Callithrix jacchus: one gene and its partner. The protein of the gene in region 2 interacts with the protein of the main gene of each other region in a biochemical or structural test. Links are inferred from orthologs where the notes say so. Each region holds a gene or a part of one and is shown on either strand. Other genes may lie near its edges.

What was found.
Region 1: the proteins of CHD4 (region 2) and ADNP form a complex in vitro, tested with the Homo sapiens proteins (2 studies listed by BioGRID). The link is inferred for Callithrix jacchus from reciprocal best matches to the Homo sapiens genes CHD4 and ADNP.

What each region holds. Positions count from the first base shown.
Region 1 is NC_133506.1:46,451,193-46,466,437, forward strand, and holds the start of ADNP (activity-dependent neuroprotector homeobox protein), read right to left. Parts: upstream 10,176-15,245; 5' UTR 9,430-10,175; coding exon of another isoform or gene 9,283-9,429; 5' UTR 8,599-9,282; coding exon 8,431-8,598; intron 7,950-8,430; exon of another isoform or gene 7,887-7,949; intron 712-7,886; exon of another isoform or gene 1-711. Other genes in the region: uncharacterized protein LOC118153633, read left to right, coding at 9,283-9,429, 10,187-10,192, 10,287-10,866, 11,183-11,256; DPM1 (dolichol-phosphate mannosyltransferase subunit 1), read right to left, coding at 15,191-15,245.
Region 2 is NC_133510.1:20,773,340-20,787,943, forward strand, and holds part of CHD4 (chromodomain-helicase-DNA-binding protein 4), read right to left. Parts: intron 12,688-14,604; coding exon 12,556-12,687; intron 12,474-12,555; coding exon 12,377-12,473; intron 11,722-12,376; coding exon 11,530-11,721; intron 10,690-11,529; coding exon 10,489-10,689; intron 10,304-10,488; coding exon 10,166-10,303; intron 9,895-10,165; coding exon 9,773-9,894; intron 9,645-9,772; coding exon 9,471-9,644; intron 9,149-9,470; coding exon 9,007-9,148; intron 8,917-9,006; coding exon 8,785-8,916; intron 8,675-8,784; coding exon 8,557-8,674; intron 5,270-8,556; coding exon 5,145-5,269; intron 4,792-5,144; coding exon 4,554-4,791; intron 4,401-4,553; coding exon 4,225-4,400; intron 76-4,224; coding exon 1-75. UniProt on the Homo sapiens protein: ATP-dependent chromatin-remodeling factor that binds and distorts nucleosomal DNA. Acts as a component of the histone deacetylase NuRD complex which participates in the remodeling of chromatin.

The DNA of each region.
Region 1 (15,245 bases), on a different chromosome or scaffold from region 2:
AGGCTTCATAAGAGATTTAGTTCATTCTCAGAGAGGAGGGTGGCAAAAGCTACTGAGTTGGGGCCACTAACTTAGGTAGAAAATTTGCATTTACTGCAAAAAACTTCTGGTGCGGTTCCAGAGGCAAGAAAGCAAGGCGTTCTAGAAAGTCCTTGCTCAACTCCACTGAGTCAGAATAGCTGCTGTCAAGCTTCTGAGTAACAAGGAATGAATGACTGGAAAGACAGGGTGAGGATAGGATGGGGAACCTTGAATGTGAAGCTGGAGTCTGCTGCCATGACTGGTAGGCAGTGAGGAGATGCAGCAGATATTAAAGTAGAGAAGGGATATGATTCTAATGCCACTTTAAGAGGATTAATCTAGTTGTGTTCAGCAGGTCCCATTAAGAAAGGTCCAGTGGGCCAGGTACAGTGGCTCACACCTGTAATGCCAGCACTCTGGGAGGCCAAGGTAGTATATCACTTGAGGTCAGGAGTTTGAGAGCAGCCTGGCAAACATGGTGAAACCTGGCTCTACTAAAAATACAAAAAATTAGCCGGGCATGATTGCAGGCACCTGTAATTCCAGCTACTCAGGAGGCTGAAGCAGAGAATCACTGGAACCCCAGTAGGAGGTGGAAGTTGCAGTAAGCCAAGATTGCTCCACTGCACTCTAGCCTGGGCAACAGAGACAGACTCTGCCACAAAAAAAAAAAAAAAAAAAGAAAAGAAAGGCCGGAGGAAGTCAGCTAAGTAAAAGATACCACACCTACCCAACCCTCAGAATCACCTGAGGGAGTTTAAACCCATGCCACATCTTCTCAATCTGAGAGGTCTGGGAAACCATCACTGCCTTAGGAGATAAGATACTGGGGGTGACTGTAAAAGGAGGGGAAAAGAAAAGGTTCACAGGTGAAGATTATAGCCTAAGTAAAAATTTGTGCTAATAATACTGTTTTCATGGACAACAATTTACGTATCAGCCATATGTAAGAAATTTGTACCTTATAACTTCAAACTTCCTTACCAAGAGGTACAGTGACTTAGCACAGTGATGCCTTTCTTTGCTAGAAAATAAAGATAAGATGCAGTGGTCCACTCTACAGTTGGACAGATCTGTATTGAAATCCTTGCTCTGCCACTGACTAGCTTTGTGATCCTACACGTTATTTTACCTCTAGAGGTCTATTTTCTTACAGTGTAACCAGAAGGACACTATCTCATTGTTTTAGTGTCAGAAGGATTAAATGACATGATACAAGTGAATGCTTAAGACAGTTACCATTATCACCTTAAACCAGATGAGATACTAAAATAATCACCTTGAAAATTCTGAGTTCACACTAGGGCACAACCTCTCCAAAAAGCTCAAACTATTATGCCTGAGAATCAGATGTGGTTGCCATAACAACATCTGTTCCTGTACACATTACAATGTGCTACATGCACAGGAGTGTTTTTATACAATATTTTACATCCGTGTGAGCCATGCATACTCAGGTTAGCACATTCTTAACTTCACAAGCTCAGTGACACTTAAAATATTTATGCAACAGAACATCTGCAACTAAAATAAACCTAGGTAACTTAACAGTTATGTAGAAACATAAAGCTGTCATCTAGATTTTGCATATCTTATGTTTTAAAAATTATATAAAGTCACTGGTCTTTTAGGAAGATTTTCAGACTAGAAGATTGGTGCCCACAACTGGAAAACCGTGACTGTGTTGCTGCTTATCCTGGTACTTTGAGTATTCAGATTTCAGGCAAGAATACTAGCAGTGACCGCCGGAATTTCCAGTACACCAGTAGAACCAGCTGTTTTCAGGCTGTACTCCTGTAAAAGTTTAAGATCTGTACACAAACAGAGGGAAGATGATGCCTGAGGAACAAGGTGAAAGCTAGGAAGCCAGGGGTCTGGCCCCTGACCCTTCATCAACTTAAGAGTTCACCTAAAATTGTATTTTGGAAGTGGGGGAAGATGCCTCATGCTTTAAACAAGAAAAACAGACTGAGGATACTTTATAATATACCAATCTAGATAAGGAAAAGTGTGAGGTGAGGAGCACTTCCCAGTTTACTTCACTTTAAATAGGTACTGCAGCAAGGCAGGGGCACAGCACAAAGAGTGATCCTAGCACTCCGCTGCCTACATAAGAACTCCACAGGCATACAGTCACTTGCTGTCACTGTTTAAGTGGACAACCTGGCCTAAGAGCAATTTAAAAAGGGAAATAACTCACAAGCAGCCCTTAAGGGGTATTTTAGGGGAGGACTCTCAAAAATTGAGTTTTTCCTCTGCCGTCACACCACGCAGAAGTTGTGACATTGTCTTCTGTGACCAAACGTGGTTTTTCCCAAGCAGCAGACATCAGCTGGGTGTCCTCTAACTTGGTTATAGTGTCATATTCCACAAGTTGGGAGGCTCAGTCCCTGAGACTGCTCTCCCCTTCTTCAAACACTAACTGGAAGTCTGGGCCTCCAGAAATTCTGATGCTTTAAGCTGGGGTTACTAAGACCCCCCTCAAGTTCTATTAATTTGCTGGAACATCTCTCAAAACGTAGGGAAGCACTTACGTTTGCCAGTTTATTATAAAAAATACAGATAAAGAGATGCATAGGGGCTCGGAGGGTCCATGCTCTCCCTGGGTGCACCACCCTCCAGGAACCTCCATGTTTTCAGCTATCCAAAAGCTCTCTGAAGCCAGTCCTCCTGGGTTTTTATGAAAGCTTCATCCTGTTGGCATCCTTTCCTACCTCCTTTCCCCCAGGTATAGGGTGGGGCCCTCTCTAGGGAGGGTTTCAAGACCCACAATCAGAAAGCTGGGTGAAGATTAGTCTTGCCTTGGGGTGGGTGAAAGGAGTGCAAGAGAAGGTCAGAGAGATTATTTTCTGAGGCCTAACACACCCAATATTCTAACAAAACATGGTAATAGGGGTTATGGGTGTTATGAGCCAGGAACCGTGGTGGACGAAAACCAGTATGTATCATAACACCACAAAAGGACAAGCAGATATGTCCATTTATAAATTATTTCAGAAGCATGCCAGGTGTTTGTATCTAAATGATGTAAAATTCTTCACGCTTTATCAAAACTACTCAGAAATAATTTCCCACAATAGGAAATATATTTCTTTCACTATTCTTAACAGAATAATTTAATTAAACCATGTTCTCAGTTTTTAAGCCATCTCTCAGGATCAAGGATTCACCAAAAGTATCTTTTCAAAAGCATTCTTGTACCAGGTTTTGCCTCTTGATGGCTCAGTTTTTTATACTTTTTCCCAGTTTTTATTTGCATTTTTCTTGTTGCCCCCCCCTTTTTTTTTAAGGCAAATTCTCACTCTGTCGCCTAGGCTGGAGCGCAGTGGCACGGCTCCCTGCAACCTCTGCCTCCCAGGTTGAAGTGATTCTCCTGCCTCAGCCTCCCAAGTAGCTGGGATTACAGCTGTGCGCCACCACACCAGGATAATTTTTTATTTTTAGTAGAGATGGGGTTTCACCATGTTGGCCAGGCTGGTCTCAAACTCCTGACCTGCCCACCTTGGCCTCCCAAAGAAAGTGCTGGGACTACAGGTGGGAGCCACTGAGACTGGCCTCTTACTGCTGTTTTTAAATGTAACTAATTTTGAAGCAGGATTCTGAGCACTTTTTGCATTTGGATACTCCCAGTCTCAGCTCACAAGAGCAAGAATTCTGTCAACCTAAATTTATAATTCCAATCTAAAATTTTAATACATTCCACCGTATTTCCACTACACAGGAATTTCTTCAAAAGAGACCACTCAAAAGGTTCTGAAGTCACCAGCTTCTACCAGAAGAGCAGAGCTTTACAGATGGTCGACTGAACCACAGGTTTCCACAAGCTCTTAAATGGAGCATGAAGGCTTCAGAAAAAGAAAGGGTAAATGCCAGCAATTATCAAAGACAAAAACAATTGCTCAGGAAGAGAATGAACAAGACTGCCTTAAACTAAAAAACTGGGAAAAGAAAAGGGACCATAAACAAAGTTTCTTTTTAGATTCTTATAAAGTTAACTTCAAGGTAGAAATATGCTACTTCAATTAACTGCCACCTGCACAATTTACACCCAAACTCTCCCTGCTGAGGCTGTGGCCAGCTTCTTTAAATATAGGGCCCATTGGGATCCTTGAGTATAAGCTCACAAGGAAGAACAAAACCTTACTATGAAATGATAAAGCATTTATGTGAACCTCCATTAGCCAAACAGCTTACAGGAGCACCACAAAGGCCTGTGTTCTGAGCACAGGCCTAGGAACCAGCCCAGACATATTTGGTGGCTCACTTTATCATTGTATGTGATAATGTCTTGATTTCCCTACTTGTGAAACAAGGACAGTTCTGAGAATCAACAATAATTTATAAAACGCCTGGAAAATGAAATGGGCAAGCCATCAATATTATAATACATAAAGGCCAGCGAGGGGGCCTTTACACTTTACAGTGCATCCTCATTCAAGTTATCACAGTCACAAAAGAAGTGACACATAAATACAACCCACAGCTAAGTGACTCAATTACAAATATATACCCTTACTAAAGAGGGTATCAGGATATGTAGATTCATTTTTAATTCTAACAGCTGGTCAAATAATGCATGACTTTTAGATTATGTGTATGCTTTTAAATTATATCTTTAACTTAAATCTAAAGCTAGGGCATATATTCAGAGCAGCCTTCCCTTTGTAAACTCTATTCAACATTGTCCATGCTTTCCTCTTATTTTCTTTATCTTTATTTCTAGTACACTGCTGAAATTCTTGAGGGGTTCCAGGATTTCTCCAGCAGCTATCTTGGAATCAAGGTTAAGGATCAAAATGCCAAAGTTTGTGAGTGAATCTCAGGGAACCCTGAAGGCAGTGGACTGAATTAATACATAGAGATGAGAGGACCCAGGACTAAAACACTGATATGAATTTTGCATTTTTCATTGATTAGAATAAACACATGTGCCCTGCAATCAAAACTGTCACCTTCCATAGCTGGCTCAAATGTTATCTGTGACTTCCTACACACATACACTCTACATAATCAAGTTGACTTGAGAAGCATAATACGTGAGGAGAGCCTTCTCATTCCAGCGAAGCAGAATATGAATTCTCACTTAAGCTGACCCCAAAACTGGCACATAGCAAAGGTAGGTCATAATGTAACACAGGTGTAAGGAGTACTAAGACACAGAGAGAATGAAAGAACATAATCATCCTCTCCTCACTTTCTAATTAACAGGATCAGACAGACAAACAAAAAAAAAAAAAACAAGAAGTCACAATGGCCACCCATGATGGACAAAGCATGGATGGTTTATCTAATAAAGTATCTCAAAATCAAGGTGGAAAGTGCCAATGTAAAAACAAGAAACAGCTCTCACATTCAAAATATCAATTAATTAGCATGGGGCTTTGGTTTATACCAGTTTCAAACACCAAGTTTCCAAACTAACAATATAAAAGATGTTAACTGACACTGATGTACAACAGCAAAACATGGCATTTGCTCCACAGTCAGTATCACAAACTCTTACAAAACTAGGAGAGGGGCCAGGTATGGTGGCTCATGTCAGTAATTCCAGCTACTCAGGAGGCTGAGGCAGGAGAATCACCTGAACCCAGAAAGCAGAGGTTGTAGTGAGCTGAGATTGTGCCACTGCACTCCAGCCTGGGAGACAGAGCGAGACTGTCTCAAAAACAAACAAAACAATAAACTAGGAAAAGAAAAACTTTAAGTTTATGCAATGCTAGTAACAAGTCAAGCTCTGTGAATCTAACTACAATTAAATTATTTACACATAGGGAGCAATGTTTCTCTTAATGTACATGTGTCTCAGGCAAGAGAATGAAGGTTAAACTCCCACTGAAAGTATTTTACCTTACAAAGGACACAACAGACTTTATGACACTCTTTTAAAGTAAAACTCCATTGGAAGTCCAGGTTGAACAAGTAGCTTATTTACACAACAGTCATGGGTATTTTGCTGTAAACCACAATAATGCTTCTAACCTTATAAAATAAAAATTTCAATTATTTACCTTTTATATCATTTTAAAAATCTTTATTTCACTAACACTTAAATACGTTACTTAGAAAAAAGTATATAAAGTTTAATTCTGGTATGTTTTTTACTACACTTATATGTATTGTCCATCTCAATACATCTAACAAATGCCATCTCAAACTAAATATATTTTCCCCAAACTACACCTCTGATACTTCAACTTTTCATTTGTATTTAATAATACGATAACCATTTCCAGCTCTAGAAAACCCAACTGTATTCTATGTGTATGTGTGCACACACAACACATGCCCCAATTATGAAATCAACTGGCTGAGGTCTATTACAATTATTGCAGTTTTGTTACTTATACAAGATTCTCAAAAGAAAAATGACAAATTCTGAAGTTTTTCTTTTCTCTTTTCTACCCTGTGAAGTATCAATCCCTACTTTCTCCTGTATAGCAAAACAGCTCTATCTTCCTTAGGTTGCAAATTTCACAATAAAACTTGTAGCCAACATCATCTCATTCAACTAATATACTGCTGAGTATTTCAGTTTTCAAAATACTAACGTTTTTAATCCTTTCAAAACTTTTAGGGCCAGGCGTGGTGGCTCACACCTGTAATCCAAGCACTTTGGAGGCCAGGGCTGGCGGATCACCTGAGGTTAGGAGTTCAAGACCAGCCTGACCAACATGGTGAAACCCCACCTTTAAAATTAAAACAAAACAAAAAAACTTTTAAGTAGTTACAAGGAAAGCAACAACTTCACACATAGTATACCTTATGTTTTTAATAATCAAATATAAATAATAAGCCACTGTGGCTTGATAAAAGCCTACCTGTCGGTTACTTGCAAGTGGTACCAAAACCACCTGTTCAATATCCCAAAGTTCTTATTTTAATATAAATAGTATTAAAACTCTTCCTGCACTCTGGTATAAGGAGAAAAAGATAAACTTAAGCAAAGCAAAGCAAATTAACAGAGGGAATGTCTAAAATCAATGACTTCCAAGATTAGCAGTGCCAGGGGCATTAAGAGTTTCAGCCCAATCTCCTATGTTTTCTATACAGGGACTATAAGAACCAAAATCAGGGGGGAGGGAAGAGCTCCCCCCCCAAAAGAAAAAAGAACCAAAATCAAAGAAGTTAATTTCAGTATATAGCAGCTCCTGGTAAGGTAGTCTCAGGAAATTTTTTGACAAAGGCCAAGATAAAGAAAGAATTTCTACCTAAAGTTCAGTTGCACAGACTACCCATTCCCACACTCTAGTTGAGTCTTTTACTATACTTTAATAAGTATACAGTTTACCTACTATAAATCCCAGTCTTCAAGCCCAATTATTTCACCTTTTTTTGGGGGGTAGAGATGGGGTCTCGTTACGTTGCCCAGGCTGGTCTTGAACTTCTGGCCTCAAGTGATCCTCCTGCCTCAGCCTCCCAAAGTTTTGGTTTCACAGGCATGAGCCACCTCGCCTGAACTCCCCTTACTTTTTTTGAGTGTTAAAACCAAGAAACCTTTGAAACTGTAGAATACGTGCTTTCTAAGAGCTCACAGCAAGTTTTCCTTTAAGGGTAAATGACTGTTACCACTTAGGACATCATTTAACATTTGTTAAATAAAACAAAAGCCCCTCCACAAACTTCATCTCCAACATTCCCTCAAATAAGTTGTCTTCAAATTATATGCTCATTACTAGAACTTAAGTAACTGTATATAAAACACCAAATAAAGATAAAAACTCTACCTGTCTACACATACTATACAGTATTTAAAAATTAAAAGAATCCCATTTAAAGATCTGATTTTTTTACAATTACTAAAAAATTGTAAAAGCAATGTAGTCTCTAGTCAAATACCTGTACCAAAGGGCCTCCTTTTCACTCACCAAAACGTTAATTGGTAGCAATTCTCCAATGAAAAATTCTCCTGTTAAGCACCAACTGGTTAACTAGGTATCAAAGAATACACCCATTCAGTTCCCCATAAACTTATCTTGGTGTATTTACGTAAGATACTTGTAACAAAGTCTTAAAGGTACCCACAAACAACCACTGTCAATCGTTAGTAGCAAGAACAAGTTCATGCAAAAGCATGTTTTCATCAGATATTTAAGGCTTTTAGAAGCTTGGAAATTGGGTCATCAAAGTAATAGTAACTGAATACTTAACATACTTTATACACAAGGGTGTAGAATGCAAATGATTACAACAATAACAGCATCTGCAAAAATTTCTCTTAAAGAAGCTGTAAGTCATTTCTTATGTTAATAAGTGTTCAGAACCCACTACTGCAACAGCTCTAACCGGTTCCTTGAAGAATGTGGCTAGGCTGAAATTTTGGAAGTGTTGGCTTTGGTGGTGACCAAGGAGGAAGAAGTCTCTGGCTTCCCTGTTGCTGAAGTTCCCACCCTCCAAAATGAATATACCCACCGGTGTGAATTGACAATGTGGTCCAAAGAGCAAGGCAGGAAACGGAGTCCAGATCCTCAAAATGGTAGTACAGGGCATAACCACTAGGCCACCTATCAGTTCAGTACAAAAGGTACAACCCTGCGCATCATGGTGTAAAAGCTGGGGCCTAGGTTTCGCATTGTGCATCTCACACCTATGGAAATAACAAGAGGAGTAAAATCTATAGAAATCAACACACCCTAAGAAGGTGGGTGCTCACAGAAGACTGCTATCAACATTTTGGTAAAGGTGGTTGGCTGCTGAGATAATGAATGGCAATTACAAGTCCAATTTTGGAGGGAAACAAATTTTTTACAATCAACACTTGAGTTTGACAATGAAGAACCCAACATGGGCTTGATGTTTACCAACAAGGCTTTGCAAATCATGACACCCATCTTCTCACTTATAAAAACTACTACCCCACAAAAATCCAACATCTCTCAAGAATGATTTTTACCTCTCAAAGAACTGGAAAGATCTGGGCTATGATGAAAGGAGTTAATTAGCTATGCCCCCAAACCTGTTACTTTCAGGTTTCAAACTTTCTCCTTTACCACCAGACTTAGGAAAGCTATGGTGACACAGTCAAAATGTTATTCTAGAGAAAGGGAATCCGAACCAAGGATGTGCCAAGGTGAATCGTCAAGAACAAATGTGGACTGTCTGAGGGCCAACAGTTATGAAAAAGTAAAAGGAGCAAACTTCTAAAATGCAGGGTGGGCTCTTTAAAAGGAGTAAAATCACTGCTCTTGACTCACTTAATCCTTCGCCATGTTGCTGTCAGCTCACCAACTAAGTGCGAGTGTGACTTGCTGGGCCCATTTTCCCATGGTCTGTAGAAGGCGCTGTGAAGCACATCCTGTTCTAGCTCGGGGGCCCTTCCCCCCTCTGCAGCCTTACCCAGTGCAGAGAATGCGCCCCCTACTGACTCCAACACTCATCGCCTTTAGCCGACTTGGCTGCGGTGCATTTTGGGTGGGGGCTGGTATTTTCTCCATGGCCATAAACCAGAAGCAACAATGCAGATTTCTAAAGAAACTGTATCAAGCTATCCAAGAGATTCTTATTTTCCTTTCCATTCTGAAGGTTCAAGACACAGGCACAAGAAGCATCAGGGATGGGAACTGGGTGTGTGGGGATGGAGAGCATTAACATGGCAAACACAGCAAACAGTTTGGTTCTTTTTCCCTCCTAAGCCTTTGTCTGTAAAATGGGGTTATGGCAAGAAGTGTCCAGAGAAACTGGTGAATGCAAAAACATTAAGAAGACTTCGCGTGTGTGTGTGTGTGGGGGGGGGGGGGGTGTGTGGCTAAAAAGGTATCAGACCTAGAGTCTTGCCTTGGGCAGAAGAGGAAGAGAAGCAATCGCGCCTTTTCCAGCAGACAGGGATCAAGGTTGGGGGGGAGGGGAAGGCAGGCAAGCAGCCCAGAGGAAAGAAGAGGTGAATAGAAGGTGCTCCCAAAACTACTCCCCATTCATTACGAGAAAATCTTTTTGCAGCTTTCTGGATTTCCATTTTCTACCATCTTACTGCAAAGTTAGGGCTCAGAATGTTCGAAGGAGGTGCTGACCAGGCAGCTGAGACTGGGAAAAGGGATGGTTGGTAGACTGTGGTCATGATAGGAGGGAAGCTGGCAGGTTGGGAAGGAAGGATTGCACAGGGGAGGTAAAGACTTTCACTCCGTGCCATGCATGCTCCCCGGCCCCCTCAACCCCGTCCCCCCTCCCCCAGCTAAGGGTGGGTAGACCCGGCAGAAGGCTCGTTCCAGGCATGGGAGTGTGCGTGGGGGGGGCTCCTTTTGGGGGTGGGGGGCGGACGGGATTAGTTCTAGGGATGGGAGAAGCTAGGTTCTGGCTGGAGGCGGGGTGGGGGAGATGCCATTAGCTGCAAAAGCTCCCGGCAGCCAGGCTGGCTGCTGGCCTCGGTGGGCTCACGGGGCGGAGAAGGGGGTCGGGCTGCAGGAGGAGGCGCCTGGCCCTCCAGAGCAGAGCCGGGTAGCGGTCCGTGCCGGGACTGGCGGCCCGTCGGCGCCGGGGTGTGCAAAGAAGCGTGTGTGCGGCTGGAGGGCGGCGATGCGAACAACAATGCGCCCGCGCCCGGGGCCGGGCTGGGCAGACGGCCGCGCGGGCCGGGGTCGGGAGGCAGGGCTGGGCCGCGGGTCCGCGCGCGGCGGCGCCAGGCTTACCTTGACTCGGCCTCAAGGCGCGCGTGGGGCCGGCGTGCTCGGGGGCCGGACGGCGGCGGCGGCGGGCGGATGGCGGCGGCACGGCGGTGGCGGCAGCGGGGAGGGCGCGCCCGGGGCCTCGTCGCGCTCCGGCTCGGCGGGCTCCGGCTCGCGCCGCGGCCGCGGGTGCTGCCGGGGGGCGCGGCGGGCGCAGCAGAGCGGCGGGCGGCGGCGGCGTCGTCGAGCGGTGCAGACAAAGGAGGGGCGGAGGGAGGAGACGGAGGGTGTGGGAGAGGCGGCTTCACCGGCGCGGGCGGCGGCGGCCGCGCTCCTCTCGCTCCTCAGCAGCGGGGACCGAGAGAGGGAGCTGTGTCTGAGAAGACGCCAAAATCCCCCTTAGCGCTGCCTGCGGGAGTGGGAGGGGGCACAAGATGGCGGCGGCCGGGGGGGGCGGGAGTTCAGCTCATGGATCCCGGCGGGCGGCGGAGGGGAGACCGGGCCAGCGGAGGCGGCGGCGGCAACAGGCGGGGGAGGGGGGCTGATCCCGCGTCTCCCCTCAGCAGACAATACAAGCGCCTCGGACCGAGTCCCCGAACCTGCCCCAGCCAAAATGGCGGCCGAGAAAGAGAGGAAGTGACGTAAGTGCCTCATTAGCATAAGAGGACTCATTGTCCAGCTAAGTAGGGGGGGCAGTGGGGACAGTACCCCTAACCCCCTTTCCCCCAGGGAGGCCCCTCTTACTCCCACCTGTGCTTGCACCTAACTTTTCCTGAGGGAGGGTGCTCTCAGAACCCCCACCCCCGCCTGAGGGAAATTATATAATCCCCACTGAGGTGGGGGAACTCTCGCGAGAACCAGGAGGATTTACCATTGACCCACTAGGAGGCGCCGTGGATAATGGCCGCAGTGCGCTCCCAGGGCCCGGGTGCTCAGCGGGCGCCTTCCTCTGGCCGCAGCGCCGGCGGCGGAGGCAGAAGCAGCGGGCCGCAGCACGCCCAGCACTCAGTCAGGTGGCCGTGCTGGGGATCCCTGCGCGGGCCCAGCTGGGCCTGGACTACATCTGGCGGGAGGGGTGTGCAGGGCGGCCCGGGGCGGCTCCACGTGCTCAGAGGCCCGCGCTTCCTCCACGCCTGAGAAGCGGTGGAAAGGCGCCGGAACACCTGGCCGGTCGCGTCTGATGTCTCCTGCCTTAAATGAGGTGTGAGGGCCTCGTGCTTCACACAGTGACTTGGGATGAGACACAACCCCAAGGATGCCTGCCCCTTCCTGGGGGGTATTCGGTGCAGAGGGGTCGAGATTTTATTAAGGTTCGCCATTACTCTGTGACTTGACATTCTTCCCAGTAACAGTGATGGACTCTTCTCTTTGACCTGAATTTAAAAAAAAAATGGGAATCCTGGTGCCTTGAGGACTCCCAACGGGTGAAATTTCAGGATGAGAAGTGATGTTGCCAATGGGGGCATTGGCTCTCTGCAAGATCCTTAAACAACACACCTTGTAGTCCTAGGGACATAACTTTTGGTGCTCCCACAATCTGGGTAGTGTAAGACAGCACATGGTTACGTTGAAAAGTTAGGTCAAACCCAACCAATGCATTATTTTCCTCAACATTTTTGAACCAACCTTTTAAAGTAGGTTGGTTAAAGTATCATGATTTAAAGTATCATTGGTTAAATGTACTGGCAAATAATAGATGTCAGTAGTGAAGAATTAACCAAGCCTGTTTCCTTAATATGTGATTTGTAAATTCAAGTCAACATACTTTTAAGCCATACTTAACATCCGAAAATAATCTGACTTCGTTGCAAGTAACATCAACTGTGATTACACATAGCTGCTCAACGTCTAAGACTTCAGTTAGCCCTGTTTAAAAAACTTTCATACAACACATTTCTGAAATTGTGATAAAATATCTTTAAAAACCAAGTCAGTATTTCAAGGGAAAACAGCTGAAAAATGTTGTGGAAAAAGGGGTTGGGGCAAAGCATTTGATTCAAAGAACCAAAGATAATCTAATTACATACTGCAGAAAACAGACAAAAACTAATATGAAATAAGCAAAGTAAGTTTAAGTTTAGTTTTCCTTAGATATACTTAGATTCCATATAGTGATAATGCAAATACAAAGGGAAAACATCTGGATTTCATCTTTGGCCTCATTTACAAAGCAAAATAGGATGCTGGATTCAGATGTAAATGTTTAATTTTACAGTGTTTGAGCACCAGATTTACTACAAAAATGCATCTAAATAGTCCAGATTCTTTTCTAAATGACTTCCAAATGCTGTGAGTCTTCAATGCTCAAATACTGTCTCTACTGTAAATTCTAAGAGTGACAGTGTTGTAATGATTGTGGGAATAACAAATGAAAAGATTGAAAGAGCAAACATTATCTACTCTAGTGAGATCTGAGAAGGCAGTACTGTGTATCAGGTTCTCTAAGGTGGTTACTTAATTTCTGCTCCACATACTTGACACTGAGAACTTAACTTTGAGTTTAGGTTAAGAATAAATTCTAATCACTCCAAAAAAACAGAATATTACATTTCTATTATCTTAGCTTAAAACTAATTGCACATCAAGCACTAATAAATTTTCTTGTTGTTATTAATGAGAAATCTCCTCCCCAAGGAAGGCAGGTCCCTTATTGGACAGCTGGTCCGTTCTGGACAAAAGGGAAACAGTAGTGATCCTTATTGAAATGTGTATTATGGGTTCAACTACAGAAGTATGGGAGGTTTTCATATTTGAAATGACACCACAGGTTTTATAGTCTGGGATTCATTTCTGGTAGAATCTGTCAGAGAGAAATGCAAATAAAAATTAGACTTTCAATTTCTTTCCTTTTAAAAAAGACAGGGTCTCACTCTGTTGTCCAGGAATGATCACAGGTCACTGCAGCCTTGACCTTTCAGACTCAAGTGAATCTCCCACCTCAGCCTCCCAAGTAGCTGGGACCACAGGTGAGTACCACCACACCCAGCTAATTTTTTTATTTTTTGTAAAGACAGGATCTCCCTGTGTTCTCCAGGCTGGTCTCCAACACCTGTGGCTCAAGCTGTCCTCTTGCCCTGGACTCCCAAAGTGCTGGGATTATAGACATGAGCCACTGTGCCTGGCCTCAATAAATTTCTTCAGCAGCCAAATTAAGCCAGGAAAATGTAGTAATCAGGAATATTGTTCAATAAATAATTTAGAGACACCCCTTTTATTTGCAAAAGAAAGTCAACTTAAACTAATTTTCTCAAAGCATGCCCTTACTCAAATTTTAAAAGATACTACATGATCCATAACCTATGCTACAGTTAGAAATTAACTGATCTCTTCTGAAATACTTTAGAGAGAGTAGATAAACGTATTATTAGCCCTGGCTTTATTGGATAGCTTAGCCTGTATTTTAACTGGCAGAAGTGCTTAAGGAAGAGATTTTTCATATTAGTAGAGATGTGAGCTTTGCTGAGGGTCTTCAAATAATATGAAAACAATTCTTTTGAGAAAAAAATTGTTACGCTGGGCTTGGTGGCTCACATCTCTAATCCCAGCACTTTGGGAGTCCAAGGTGGGTGGATGACAAGGTCAGGATATCAAGGTGATCCTGGCCAACACGGTGAAACCCCATCTCTACATAAAAAAAGAAAAAAGTTAGCCAGGCGTGGTGGCGTATGCCTGTGATCCTAGCTACTTGGGAGGCTGAGGCACTTGAACCCACAGGCAGAGGCTGCAGTGAGCCAAGATCGCACCACTGCACTCCAGCCTGGGAGACAGAGCAGGACTCCATCTTAAAAAAAAAAAAAGAAAAAAAGAGAGAGAAACAAATTGTTACATAATTCAGTAAGATGTTTAAAAATTACTGTAGCAGCTATGTTTCTGCCTCAGTATCATTAATACTTTTCCTTACTGATAGAGGTTATTGCTCAAAAGAGAAAGATACGACTATGTAATCTACTGCTGCCAAATTGCTTCCCAATTCACAATATGCATTTTAAATAGACTTGCTTTGGTAGATGAAATGCTTCATCAATTCCACAGCTGAAAAGAACCCAATTCTAAAAGCCTGCTCTAAATGGATTTTCTAGTTTAAGAAATTTGAGATGCATTTTTAAGGAAAGGGCAGAGGTGTGTATTTCTTTTACAGATCATACAGATACAGCCATGATATAGCTATAAACATTTCATCAGTTAACATTATCTTACTTCTGACATCTATTGGGTATAAAGATTCATGATTCCAGTATTTATAAAGAATATTTCAAATTATTCTCCATGTAAAAAATTCTACATTCACTTACTCTAATCAAAGCAGCAATACTTTATGCAAAAAAACCATATACATTTATTTATAGGTCTTAATACAGCAAAATGTAAATGAAAATTGAGACCATTAAAACTCATTAGGCCAACAACTTTAAAATTACTTAATCTGAAATATAGAAGTTCTTCATAAAAAAGATGTGTGAAGTTTACCTTACCTTATGGTTTATACTTTAAGAGTACATTTTATCAAAATCAGTAACCAGGCTTCTTTCATGTTTAAAGTGAAATGAACATAAGTATAAATGATTATATTTCTTTTATGTAGTAGCAAAAAGAGTCAATAATCCTCTCAAGAAAGATACTATTTCATTT
Region 2 (14,604 bases):
CAGCAATTTCTCCCAGTAGTCAGGATCCACACTTTCTTCCTGTTTAATGATTTCCCGTTCTACCTCCTCTTCCTCCTGGGACAGAGGGAGGGCCAGGACTCAGGAATGCTGAAGTCAGCACCACCAGCTACCCCTGGTCCTCACAGTTCCCATTCTGCTAGCCCCTTTTCATGACTGGACTCTTAAATACTTGGTGTGCCTGTTTGGACCTAAGAACTTAGAAGAAACTTAATTGAGAGTACATGGTTTCTCATCATTATCTACAGATTAGCAGTCAGCGTAACTCAAGAAAAACATGGGATGGAGCTATTATCACAAGGAAGGATGAAGAGACAGTACGCTTTCTTCTAACCCCTCGCACTGATGCATATACAAATGCAAGACAGCATAAAGAAAAGAGGTCAGAGCCTTAGAAAGGCAGAATGGAGAAGCTTCTGAAATACTGTAAAAGATGTCATGAGAGAGAAAACAGGGGAGGAGGACTATAAGCCTTTCTGGTCTTCATAAACTTCATAAAAGCTTTGGGAGGCCGAGGCGGGTGGATCACAAGGTCAAGAGATCGAGACTATCCTGGTCAACATGGTGAAACCCTGTCTCTACTAAAAATACAAAAAATTAGCTTGGGCATGGTGGCGCGTGCCTGTAATCCCAGCTACTCAGGAGGCTGAGGCAGGAGAACTGCCTGAACCCAGGAGGCGGAGGTTGCGGTGAGCAGAGATCACGCCATTGCACTCCAGCCTGGGTTACAAGAGCGAAACCCCGTCTCAAAAAAAAAAAAAAACTTCATAAAAGCTTACCAACTATCTGCAAACGAAAAGAATTACATATATCCTCTTATGTCCCAAAAATGTTGATGTTCCTCTAAAAGTGTATTTTTTAAAGACACTTCCAGACCACTCACTGATTCCACATCCCTTATATTGAAATTAAACCACTGCTAATAGCATACTATTAGAAACAACCTAAATGCCCATTATTATGGAACTAATTAAATTACAATTGGCCCTCTGTATCCATGGGTTCTGCACCTGTGGATTCAAGCAACCATAGAAGGAAAATATTCAGAAAAAAAACAAAATTATGTCTGAACTAAACATTTTCTTGTCATTATTCCCTAACCAATATAGCATTTACATTGCATTCATATTACTTTTGTGTTTAAAAGGAAAAAAAAAGTGTTTGGGTACATATATGTGTGTATACATATATGTGTATGAATATATGTATAATCTGTATACACATAAAATATTTTTAGAAAAGATACAAAAGGAACTGAAAACACTAGCTATCCCTAGGAAGGAAACTAAATTGCTAGAGGACAGGAGAGGGATACATGTGTGTATATGTATAAATATATGTATTTATGTGTATTTATATTTTTGAGAAAGAGTCTAGCTCTGTTGCCAAGGCTGGAATGCAGTGGCATCATTACAGTTCACTGCAACCTCAACCACCAGGTTTAAGCAATCCTGCCACCTCAGGCTCCCGAATAACTGGAACCACAAGCAGGCGCCACCACACTCGGCTATGTTTTTACTATTTGTAGAGATGGAATTTTACCATGTTGCCCAAGTTGGTCTCCAACTCCTGGGCTCAAGTGATCCTCCTGCCTCAGTATCCCAAAGTACTGGGATTATAGGCATGAGCCATCATGTCTGGCCCTTTTGTGTATTTTGAACCATGTAAATTACTATCTACTGAAAAATAAAACTTAAAAAATATTTTTTTAAAAGTCAACAGCAGCTGTAGTCACAGGAAAAGATGAAGAATGATCAAAGAACAATGTGTATACTCATTAGTCACCAGCAAAAATGATCCACTTAGCATGTGCTCCCCGTCAATCACTTCTATTACATTCACTGCCACTGAAAGGAATATGAGCACCCTATCAGTAGGGTTGTTTCTGACTGAACACTACTGCTTTATAGACCTGTGTCAGACCATTTGCCACACTTACACATAAACTAAGGTTGGTAGCAATACCTTCAAAAACAAAATCACAGGTTAAGTGTCAGGGAAACACAGCAAGGGGGATGGTTCTAAGTCGGAAGAATGAGAAAAGATGACAAAGACCACCAAAGCCAATGCCAATTCAAAGAACCGTGAGCTGAGTGGTTTACAAGGGACCAAAAGAAAAAGGAAATTTTATTTTTCCATGTCATACTCCTCTATACTATTTGGGAGAGAAAACCATTAAAATGAGCCACACATTCCTCACACAGTATTTTCTTTTTTACTATAAAACACCAAGATAAAGAAGAGAGGACAATAAAAAGGTATGCACCAATTCTAATCTTTAAAAGAACATAAGGAGGGCCAGGTGCATGGCTCATGCCTATAATCCCAGCATTTTGGGAGGCTGAGGCAGGTGGATCACCTGAGGTCAGTAGTTCGAGATCAGTCTGGCCAACATGGTGAAACCCTGTCCCTACTAAAAATATAAAAATGAGCCAGATGTAGTGGCACATGCCTGTAATCCCACCTACTCAGGAGGCTCAGATGGGAGAATCGCTTGAACCCAGGAGGCAGATGTTGCAGTGAGCCAAGATCATGCCACTGCACTCCAGCCTGGGCAACAGAGCAAGACCCTGTCTCAAAAACAAACAAAAAAAAAACACGAGGAGCCTGGGCATGGTGGCTCACACCTGTAATCCCAGCACTTCGGGAGGCCAAGGCAGGCAGATCACCTGAGGTCAGGAGTTCAAGACCAGCCTGGCCAACATGGTGAAACCCTGTCTCTACTAAAAATATAAAAATTAGCCAGGCGTGGTAGTGTGAGCCTGTAATCCCAGCTACTTGGGAGGTTGAGGCAGGAAAATTACTTGAACCCAAAAGGAGGAGGTTGCAATGAGCCAAGATCATGCCACTGCACTCCAGCCTAGGCAACAACAGTAAGACTCTGTTTCAAAAAAAAGAAAACCACAAGGAGGCCAGGCACGGTGGCTCATGCCTGTAATCCCAGCAATTTGGGAGGCTAGAACATGCAGATCACTTGAGGTCATGAGTTCTAGAGTACCCTGCCCAACACGGTGAAACCCCATTTCTACTAAAACTACAAAAAAATCAGCCGAGCTTGGTGATGCCTGTAATCTCAGCTACTTAGGAGAATGAGGAAGGAGAACCACTTGAATCCAGGAGCTGGAGGTTACAATGAGCCGAGGTCACACCACTGCACTCCAGCCTGAGCAAAAGAGCAAGACTTCATCTCAAAATAAATAAATAAATAAAAATAAACACAAGGAGGCCCAGTGCAGTGGCTCACACCTGTAATACCAGTGCTTTGTGAGCCCAAGGGATGAGGATCATTTAAGCATAGCAAGACATCTCTAAAAACCTTTAAAAAATTAACCAGGTGTGGTAGCACGCATCTACTAGGGTCACTCTTGAGCCCAGGACCTTTAGATTGCAATGCGCTATGATTGTGCCACTACACTCAAACCTGGGTGACAGAGCAAGACTCTGTCTCTTTTTTGTTGTTGTTTTTCCTTCAGACAGTCTGGCTCTATTTCCCAGGCTGGAGTGCAGTGGCACAACCTCAGCACACTGCAACCTCTGCCTCCCAGGTTCAAGAGATTCTCCTGCCTCAGCCTCCCGAGTAGCTGGGACTACAGGGTGCGCCATCATGCCTGGCTAGTTTTTGTATTTTTAGTAGAGATTAGGTTTTACCATGTTGGCCAGGATGAGCTCATACTCCTGGCCTCAAGTGATTTGCTTGTTCCGGCCTCCCAAACTGCTGGGATTACAGACGTGGGCCACTATGCCTGGCTGAGAACCTATCTCTTAAATAAAATCCACAAAACCCAAGGAGACAGATTATCTAGCATCTTCTGCCTTTTCTCTAGAGAGATGAGGTAGCATTCAAAAATTTATTTGTAGGGTTTAACAAAACACACAAGAAAAAATGACATTGTCTTTTTTTTTTTTTTTTTTTAATTTCTTTTTTCTTTACTTATTCTCTTTAGTTTCAGTAAATGACATTCTGGTAAAGAACCAATATAACCATTGTGAGCATGATATTCAGCTGTAAGTCTTCTGACAACAAAGGCAAAGATGAGAATCTCATTAGTCAAATATGATGTTATCTTCAAGGGAAGAGGTGTATCAATTCATCAATGTATAAATTTGCCTACGGATACTTTCCTCTCATCTCAAATACCACCTTGTTCTCAATTCCAATTTTTAGACCAATCACCAAGTACAGGATTGCCTTAGATTCATACTCACCCCCATTTCTTCTTCCCGTACCACATACTGGGCCACTTTGAATGAGCTCAAATATTCATTCATGCCCTGCAATTCCGTGTCTTCAGTCTCATCTTGGTTACGGTCCAGCAGCCGTTCAATGGCCTTATCATCATAGTGGATAACACTGCTATCTTCTCCCTCTTTGTTGTCTCCTCCTATAAAAAAATCAAGGGCCCATACCCCCAAAGTCAGCTTCAGCAGCTGCAGTGGAAAAAGCAAGTCCCACAAGACCCCTGGTATCAAAGATTCTCCCTAATCTTCAGAGAGGCCAAGCCCCACACCAAAATATAAGTTCCTGACTAGCTCACCTCCATCAGTGGCTTCATCCTTGAATAGTTCCTCAGTGCCAAATTTGAGGATATCATCAAGCTCCTGTTTGGACATAGATCCAGTCTTGGAGCCCAGCCCAGGCCGCACCACTAGATGCGTCAGCATCATTTTCTTCTTTGCCACTTGTGTGATGCGCTCCTCCACTGACGCACGGGTCACAAACCGGTAGATCATTACCTTTTTATTTTGCCCAATCCGGTGAGCTCTGCTAAAGGCCTGGAATTGAGCAGGAAATAAAGCCAGAAATCGTATTTTCCTGACGCCACTCTTATCCTGACTTCCACATAATATGCTAAATTCAGTACAAGGCAAGGTCTGCAGCTTGCCTTCATAGGAAACATCCTTTTGCACCCCTGCCCCCAGACACCACCCTCTATCATGTTACCCAAAATAGGACCATAGCTAACCAAACTCTCTGGCTTACAATAAGATAAACACCACAAAAAGAATCTGTTGTTTCTCACTTAAAAAGTTTATTCCAGACGGTGGAGCCCTCATAGAGGTCACTGTGCCTTTCTAGCATAACATGTTATTTATTGTATCTAAGGATGCCTGCTGCCTCTGCTCACCTGAATGTCATTATGGGGGTTCCAGTCAGAGTCATAGATAATAACTGTGTCAGCAGTGGCCAGATTGATTCCAAGGCCCCCAGCTCGAGTGGAAAGCAAGAAGCAGAACTGCTGAGCACCCGGTGCTAATAAAGGAACCAAAAACACCATTAGAAGTGTCTCCTAAATTCCAATTCACAAATGTAGTTTTAAAAATTAAGCTGGGCACAGTGGCTCATGCCTATAATTCCAGCACTTTAGGAAGCCAAGGTGGGTGGATCATTTGAGGTCAGAAGTTCGAGACCAGCCTGGCCAACACAGTGAAACCCCACCTTTACTAAAAATACAAAAATTAGCCAGGCGTGGTCATGCACACCTGTAATCCCAGCTACTTGGGAGGCTGAGACAGGAGACCCACTTGAACCCAAGAGGCAGAGTTTGCAGTGACCAGAGATTACACCATTACACTGCAAACTGGGTGACAGAGCAAGACTCCAATTCAAAAAAAATTAGCTGGCCATGGTGCCACATGCCTGTAGTCCCAGCTACTCAGGAGGCTGAGGCAGGAGGATCACTTGAGCCCAAGAGTTCAAGGTTATAGACAGCTGACTGTGCCACTGCACTCCAGCCTGAGCAACAGAGCAACACCCTATCTTTAAAAGAAAACATGTCAGAATAGGTCAGGTGCAGTGGCTCACACCTGTAACCCCAGCAGCACTTTGGGAGGCTGAGGTAGACGGATCACCTGAGGTCAGGAGCTGGAGACTAAGCTGGCCAACAAGGTGAAACACTGTCTACGAAAAATACAAAATTAGCCAGGCACGGTGGCTCACGCCTAATTCCATCACTTTCGGAGGCCGAGCACGAGGTCAAGAGATCGAGACCATCCTGGCCAACAGGGTGAAACCCCGTCTCTACTAAAAATACAAAAATTAGCTGGGTGTGGTGGCTTGTATGTATAATCCCAGCTACTCCAGAGGCTGATGTAGAAGAATCGTTTGAACCAGGGAGTTGGAGGTTGCAGTGAGCTGAGATGGTGCCACTGTACTCCAGCCTGGCAAAAGACTGAGACTCAACTCAAAAAAAAACAAAAAAATCAGCTGGGCATGGTGGCAGGCGCCAGTAATCCCAGCTACTCGGGAGGGTGAGGCAGGAGAATTGATTGAACCCAGGAGGCGGAGGTAAAAAAAAGAATGTCAGAATATAAAACCTCATGAGGCAAACACCACAGTCATGCTCACTGTAAGCAAGGGTCCATGGATGGATACTGAAATCAGTGTGAAAGTTTCAGGAGAAACAGGACACTGACATAGTCTCAACTATCTCCCTCAAGCTACTAGCCGGGCGAGGTGGCTCAGGCCTATAATTCCAGCACTTTGGGAGGCTGAGGCGGGTGGATCACGTGAGGTTGGGAGTTTGAGACCAGCCTGACCAACATGGAGAAACCCTGCCTCTACTAAAAACACAAAATTAGCCAGACGTGGTGGCGCATGCCTGTAATCCTAGCTACTCGGGAGGCCTGAGACAGGAGAATCACTTGAATCCAGGAGGCGAAGGTTACAATGAGCCCAGACTGTGCAACTGCACTCCAGCCTGGGAAACAAGAGCGAAATTCTGTCTCAAAAACAACAACAAAAAAATTTCACTCAAGCTGTTTATCAATCATAATGGGAACAAGAGAAACTTCATCCTGCAGAAACTCAGCAGATACCACCTTAACTAGTGACCAAGTCATTACCAGTAAATCCTCCAGTATGATGCATTGAAAAGGACACGTCAGGCCGGGCACAGTGGCTCACACCTGTAATCCTATCGCTTTGGGAGGCCGAGGCGGGTGGATCATGAGGTCAAGAGATGCAGACCTTACTGGCCGACATGGTGAAACCCTGTCTCTACTAAAAATACAAAAATTAGCCATGGTGTTGTACCCCCTGTAGTCCCAGCCACTCGGGAGGCTGAGGCAGGAGAATCACTTGAACCTGGGAGGCGGAGATTGCAGTGAGCTGACATTGCGCCACTGCACTCCAGCCTGGCAACAGAGTGAGACTCCACCTAAAAAAAAAAAAATCATCACCTCTGTGCATTCTTACCCAAAATCTCTAATAAAATCAAGAGAAAACATCACACAAATCCAAACTTAGAGACATTCTACAAAATAACTGACCAATGCTCATCAAAAGTATCTCTATCAACCAGGCACAGTGGCTCATGCCTGTAATCCCAGCACTTTGGGAGGCCAAGGCAGGCAGATCACCTGAGGTAAGACCAGCCTGGCCAACATGGAGAAACCCCATCTCTACTAAAAATACAAAAATAGCCAGGTGTGGTGGCACATGCCTGTAATCCCAGCTATTCAGGAGGCTAAGACAGAAGAATCGCCTGAACCCAGGGGGCACAGGTTGCAATGAGCCAAGATCATGCCACTGCACTCAAGTCTGAGCAACAGAGCAAGACTCCATCTTAAAAAAAAGAAAAATCACCTGTATCATACAAGAAAAGGGTGAAAAAAGTGAAGAAATGTCACAGATAGCAGGAAACATGGTAACTAAATGGAACATGGGATCTGGGATTGGATCCTGAAACAGAAAATGGACAGCAGGAAAAATGCGTGACCCTCATTTAAGGTCATTTATAGTACAATACCAATGTTAATTTCCTAGTTTTGATCATTGTACTGCAGTTATATAAGCTATTATTAAGAGAAGCTAGTTGAACAGTACACATGAACTCTGTGTCATTTTGTAACTTTTTTCTAAGTCTAAAATTAAAATGAAAAGTTTTAAAACAAGTAGTAGCAGCAATACTGGGCACAGTGGCTTATGCCTATAATCTCAATACTTTGGGAAGCCAAGGCAAGAGGATTGCTAAAGACCAGAAGTTTGTGATCAGCCTGGGCAACATGGCAAGACCCCACCTCTACAAACATATTTTTTAAATTAGCTATGAGCAATGGCTGATGCCTATAGCCCCAGCTAGTCGAAAGACTGAAGCAGCAGGATCACTTGAGCCTAGGGTGATGTCCAGACTGTAATGAGCCATGATCATGCCACTGCTCTCCAGCTTCAGCAACAAGAGTGAGACCCTATCTTGAATAAATAAAACAAAACAAACAAACCTAGTAGTGTCTACCAAGGCAGCCAAGTCTGCCAATAACTTGCTATTTGAGCTTGAGCAAGTCCTGACCCCTTGCTCGCCCTCAAAATGCAATGCTTTCTCCTTTCTAACAGAAAGAACAAAGACCCCAAAGGAAAAAAATTCTCCTAGGAATAGTGTAACACATTCTTCCAATTGAGACATTCAAAAGCTTTACTCTTCCATCTCAACTGACAAAGCCCCAAAAGAACTACACTGAAAAGGAGATGCACAAGAAGTTACAATACCAAAATGTAAGCAAATAAGGATGACTGAAACGAAACAACTCCTTCTCTCTCACCATTGAAGCGGTCAATGGCCTCCTGCCGCATGTTCCCAGTGATTCCACCATCAATGCGTTCATATTTATAACCTTCGTGTTCCAAGAAATCCTCTAGCAGGTCTAGCATCTTGGTCATCTGTAAAAGGAGCACGGTTTAACTATGGAAAAGTCAGATGTTAATTCCTTTCCTTATATCACTGAGGGTTGTCTATGACTGTTCCCTAAATCTCCCAGCCCACATGGTACCTGGGAAAAGATGAGTACACGATGTCCACCCTCCTTAAGGTTCTTGAGCATTTTCTGCAGCAGCAATAATTTCCCAGATGCTCTGATTAGGGCACTACCATCATACATGCCATTAGGCATCTTTGGGGCTTCCTGAGGACAAAAGCAAAGAAGAAAAAATATCAAAAGAAAGCCCACATGAAGAGTCCCAACCCAGGGAGGAAGAAGAGGTGGCACACCTACCATCGCAGCCACAGGGAAGAGGTACGGATGGTTGCAGCACTTCTTAAGATCCATCACCACATTTAGCAGAGACACCTGGTTGCCACCACCTCGGGCATTGAGTGCTTCAAAATTCCGAGTGAGGATGTACTTGTAGTATTTCCTACGTGGGCAAGGTAGAAACGCGGGTTAGACTCGAGAGCCTTTCAATAATGGAGTCCCAGTAACTGAGATCTTTCTTCGAACACATCCCACTTTGGGACTAAGGACACCTAACACACAAGCACCACCACCACCATTTTAAATAAGGAAGGTATAACTTAAAATAAGTAAGAATTATGTGCTCCAGCGCCCTAGCATCAGGTTTCTTCAGGCCTTGCTTGCTCCTGTCACCAGATGCCTTGAAGATGAGTAGGGGAGGAATAGGAAACACTGCAGACTGGCAGATGTCTAAATGGAGTCTGCTTCTGTCCCTCCCAACTCACTTCTGCATAGGGCTTAGCTCCACACGCACAATTAGTTCCGTCTTGGATGGCATATTCTTGAACACATCAGCTTTGAGCCGCCGTAACATGTGCGGCCCCAGCATGTCATGCAGTTTTTTTATCTGGTCTTCCTTGGCAATGTCAGCAAACTCCTCCAAAAAACCTTCCAAATTGCTTCAGAAAGAAAAAGGAAAAAGTTACTGGAAAAGGAGAAAGGAAGAAAGGAAAGTGATACAGGAAATGGATAACAGGAAGAATGAGAAGCATAATTATGAGCTGATTACAGATAAGCACACACTTACTGGAACCTCTCAGGGGTGAGAAAGTTGAGCAGATGAAACAACTCTTCCAGATTGTTTTGTAATGGAGTCCCAGTCAGCAACAGCTTATGCTGGAGTGAGTAACCATTCAAGACCCGGAAGAACTGGTGAGGCAGATGGAGAGAGGTGAAATCCAATGAAAAGAGGACTCTGGTAAATCTCTGCAAAATTTCAAGTTGTTTCACTGCCCAATAGTTAAGCCTCCCACTCCTCACACTCTTTTTACAGGCCTGGCCACCAAGGGCTGTCACATATAAGGAAGGAAGGCAGAGACAATTTTTCCCTCTCCTCTCCTCCTACAAGTTTTCCCCTTAATGAATTAGATCTAGAAAAAACTCAAACTGGGTGCTCCAATGTCCCTCCCTAAGCCCTCACCTTAGACTGATTGTTCTTCAGCCGATGGGCTTCATCCACGATGAGGCAGGCCCAATCAATAGAGCCCAAGATAGCCATGTCAATGGTGATTAATTCATAGGATGTCAGCAGCACATGGAATTTCACAGATGCCTCTTTCTGCACATGAACGCAACTTGGTCACTACTAGTCAGCTCCTCTGGTGTAAGCACAACCAGGGGACCAATGGAACTTTTTCCTCCTCCCAGGGTTACCCTTTTGTCTCAGAGACCAGATTACAAAGAGGTAAACTGAGCCAGAAGCCACAACTCTTTCTCTAGAGTGGCTTTCCTCCCTTGAGATACCTTCATGCGGGAGGCCTTCTTGCCACCACGAATGGCATTGTCTTCAAAAGAGAACTCATTCTCTCGGATGATGGCACGGCTGTCCTTGTCACCCACATAGGTTACGACATACATGTCTGGAGCCCACATTTCAAACTCCCGCTCCCAGTTGATGATGGTAGAAAGAGGGGCACTCACTAGGAAGGGGCCTTTGGAATGACCCTTGGAGGAAAAAGAGAAGGAGAGTGAGGACTGAGGGCCCCAGCACACTGCAATCCCAGTGAACACCCACCACCCTGCTGCCCCCTCAAGCTAAGCCAAGGACTGGAGCCTGCACTGCTGCTCCTGCTCTCACCTTCCTCTATGCACATGCCCTGCCCACTCCTTTCTAAAAAGCCAAGGTCCCACCAGAACTGCAAGTCTTATCTCTTCCATTAAGTCTTTCTACACTTTTTTTCTGAGATAGAGTTTCGCTTTTGTTGCCCAGACTGTAGTGCAATAGTGCAATCTCAGCTCACTGTAACCTCCACCTCCTGGGTTCAAACGATTCTCCTGCTTCAGCCTCTCAAGTAGCTGGGATTACAGGCGTGTGCCACCACGCACAGCTAATTTTGTATTTTTAGTAAAGACGGGGTTTTACCATGTTGGTCAGGCTGGTCTCGAACTCCTAATCTCAGGTGATTCACTCACCTCAGCCTCCCAAACTGCTGGGATTACAGGCGTGAGCCATGGCGCCTAGCCAAGTCTTTCCATACTAATTCCACTCACAATTCTACTTCCCTCAACACATAATCATTCTGCTAGAACTGAGACTCTATGAACCCATTGCTAACTCTACCCAGGGTTCCATGCCCTCATATCTTCTGCTGTGTACATATGTTTATCCACTATCATGTTTATCTACTATCTACTCAACACACGTGTACATGTGTTTATTATCCACAGTGTTCTTGAAGATCAGAGACCAATTTTTTTATTCCCTTATCTCTCTCCTCAGAGCATAAGTGAAGGCTGCAAACATAAAATACCCACACAAAAACTATCAGGCCCAGATTTCCTTACCTCCTTGTAAAGGGAGTAGAGGAAGACTGCTGTCTGTACAGTTTTCCCAAGGCCCATCTCATCAGCCAAGATGGTGTCAGTGCCCTGAGCCCAGGAGAAGCGCAACCAATTCAGGCCCTCCATTTGATACGGGTGCAGAGTTCCACCTGTAGCATCCAAATACTCTGGCTGTCGCTCATACTTCACAGTTGGCTGAAGGATGAAATAGAGAAGTCAAGAGCTGGCAAGGTACTCCCTTCTTCCCCTAATACAGAAGCTGCTTCTACCTCACTAGTCTTCACAGATCCTCCTGGAGAGAGCTACAAAAAATTCTGAGGGAAAAGATCCCCTATGATTACTGCAAATTCGTGTTCAGTTTAGGGTCCTACAGGAAACAGGGCTTTAACCAGACAGACCTGATTTTGGTCCCATAGATCACTGAGGAAAAACATATCACAGACTCCCTATCAACACAATAATTCTAGTCAGGATCCACCAGATAAATAATCGTCATGTCTCTCCTAGATTCATCTTTTCAATGTTAATCACCCTCAAATTATACTGTACAAGCAAAACCCAGAGGAAATGAGCCTGAATTAAGCCAGATTCCAATGTAAGTTCATAAAAGCTTGGCTGTGTCCCTCCCCATAGATAACACTGCATCTTTTTTTCTTCTGATGCCAAAAAAAGAAAGTAATCCTAGTGCTTTCTGATACACAGAGATGTGAAGTGGGGAAGCCTACTTTGTGAAGTAATCTCAGCTACAAAGTTACTATTTGCATTTCATTACTTAGAGTACCATGATTAGACCACAGCAAAGATACGCTGTCCTTCCCAACAAACTACAGTCCCTTTCGCCCCAACTCACATCAACCGTTGGCGTTTCCGGAGGCCTCTCCAACTTTCGCAGCTTTACCTTCTTGAGTTTCTTGCCTGGTCGGCCTTCCTCACCCCTCATTAACTCCCTAAAGAAGAAAGACATCACACAGCTGCCAAAGCCCTTTTCTACAGAAGAAACAACCCTACTCCTCCCCCAAAATCACTCACCTGTGATTCCAATAGCTCTGCTTGAACAGGTCATAATCCTGGATCTCCACATCCTCACTCTCCCAAGAAGCCTGATCGTAAGGTAAGTCCCGCCACTTGATCAAGTAGTGGACATGGCCCTTCTTATCCACACTGCAAGTCAAGGAGAGAAAACCCTGAGCCAGAAAAGGCAACCTCCTCACTTCCTCTAGAAAACTGACAATACCAGGCAGGGCGCGGTGGCTCAGGCCTGTAATCCCAGCACTTTGGGAGGCCGAGGTGGGCGGATCACGAGGTCAAGAGTTTGAGGCCATCCTGGGCAAGACGGTGAAACCTGGTCTCTGCTAAAAATACAAAAATTAGCCGGGTGTGGTGGTGGGCACCTGTAATCCCAGCTACAGCTACTCAGGAGGCTGAGGCAGAAGAATCAATTGAACCCAGGAGGCAGAGGCTGCAGTGAGCCAAGACTGCGCCACCACACTCCACACTCCAGCCTGGGAGACAGAGCTAGACTCCATCTCAAAAAAAAAAGAAAACTGACAATACAGTATGTTCCACACCAGACCTCTTGGTATGCCACAGACCACATGTATTCAGAATCTCTATTATACCAGTTTGTGACCAAAAATTATCTCTAATCTATACTCCCCTAGAGCTCAAACACCAGAATTCAGTCAGTTAATAATTAATATAGTGTTGGCCAGGTGCAGTGGCTCATGCCTGTAATCCCAACACTTTGAGGAGCCGAGGCAGGCAGATCTCTTGAGGCCAGGAGTTCAAGAACAGCCTGGCCAACACAGAGAAACCCTCTCTCTACTAAAAAAAAATTCAGGCATCAGGCCAGGCACAGTGTCTAACATCTGTAATCTAGCACTTTGAGAGGCCAAGGCAGGCAGATCACAAGGTCAGGAGTTCGAGACCAGCCTGGCCAATGTGGTGAAACCCTGTCTCTACTAAAAATGCACTGATTAACCAGGTGTGGTGGTGCACACCTGTAGTCCCAGCTACTTAGGACACGCCTGTAGTCCCAGCCTGTAGTCCCCTCTTCTACTGAGGCAGAAGAATTGCTTGAACCCAGGAGGCAGAGGTTGCAGTAAGCTGAGATTCACACCACTGCATACTGCATTCTAGCCTGGGTGACAGAGTGAGACTCTGTCTCAAAAAAAGAAAAAAAAATTAGCTGGGCATGGTGGCACACGTCTGTAATCCCAGCTACTCTGGAGGCAGAGCCAAAGCATCCCTTAAGCCTGGGAGGAAGAGGCTGCAGTGAGCTTACATCGTGCCACTGCACTCGACTGGGCCACAGAGCGAGACTCTGTCTCAAAAAATGTAATAAACAATAATAATATAAAGTGTCAAGTATAGTAGCTTATGCCTGTAATCCCAACACTTTGGGAAGTTGAGGCAGGCAGAGACTGCTTGAGCCCAGGAGTTGAAGACTGCTGTGAGCAGTGATCACGCCACTGCACTCAAGCCTGGGCAACACAAAAATAAATAAATAAATAATATAAGGCTAGGGATGATGGCTCACGCCTATTAATCCCAACACTTATGGAGGCCAAGGCAGGCAGATTGCCTGAGGTCAGGAGTTCAAGACCAGCCTGGCCAACATAGTGAAATCCCATCTCTAGTAAAAATATAAAAATTAGCTGGGTGTGGTAGTGGGTGCCTGTGCTCAGCTACTAGGGAGACTGAGGCAGGAGATTCACTTGAGTCCAAGAGGCGTAGGCTGCAGTAAGCCAAGGTCACACCACTGCACTCCAGCCTGGGCAACAGAGCAAGACTCCATCTCAGAAAAACAAACAACTAGGAGTGGTGGCTCATGCCTGTAATCATAGCACTTTGGGAGCCTGAAACAGGCTGATCACGTGAGGAGATCATTTTGGAGATCCCAAAATCCCAGCACTTTGGGAGCCTGAAACAGGCTGATCACCTGAGGTGATCATTTTGGAGCTCCCAAAATCCCAGCACTTTGGGAGCCTGAAACGGGCTGATCACGTGAGGTGATCATTTTGGAGCTCCCAAAATCCCAGCACTTTGGGAGCCTGAAACGGGCTGATCAACTGAGGT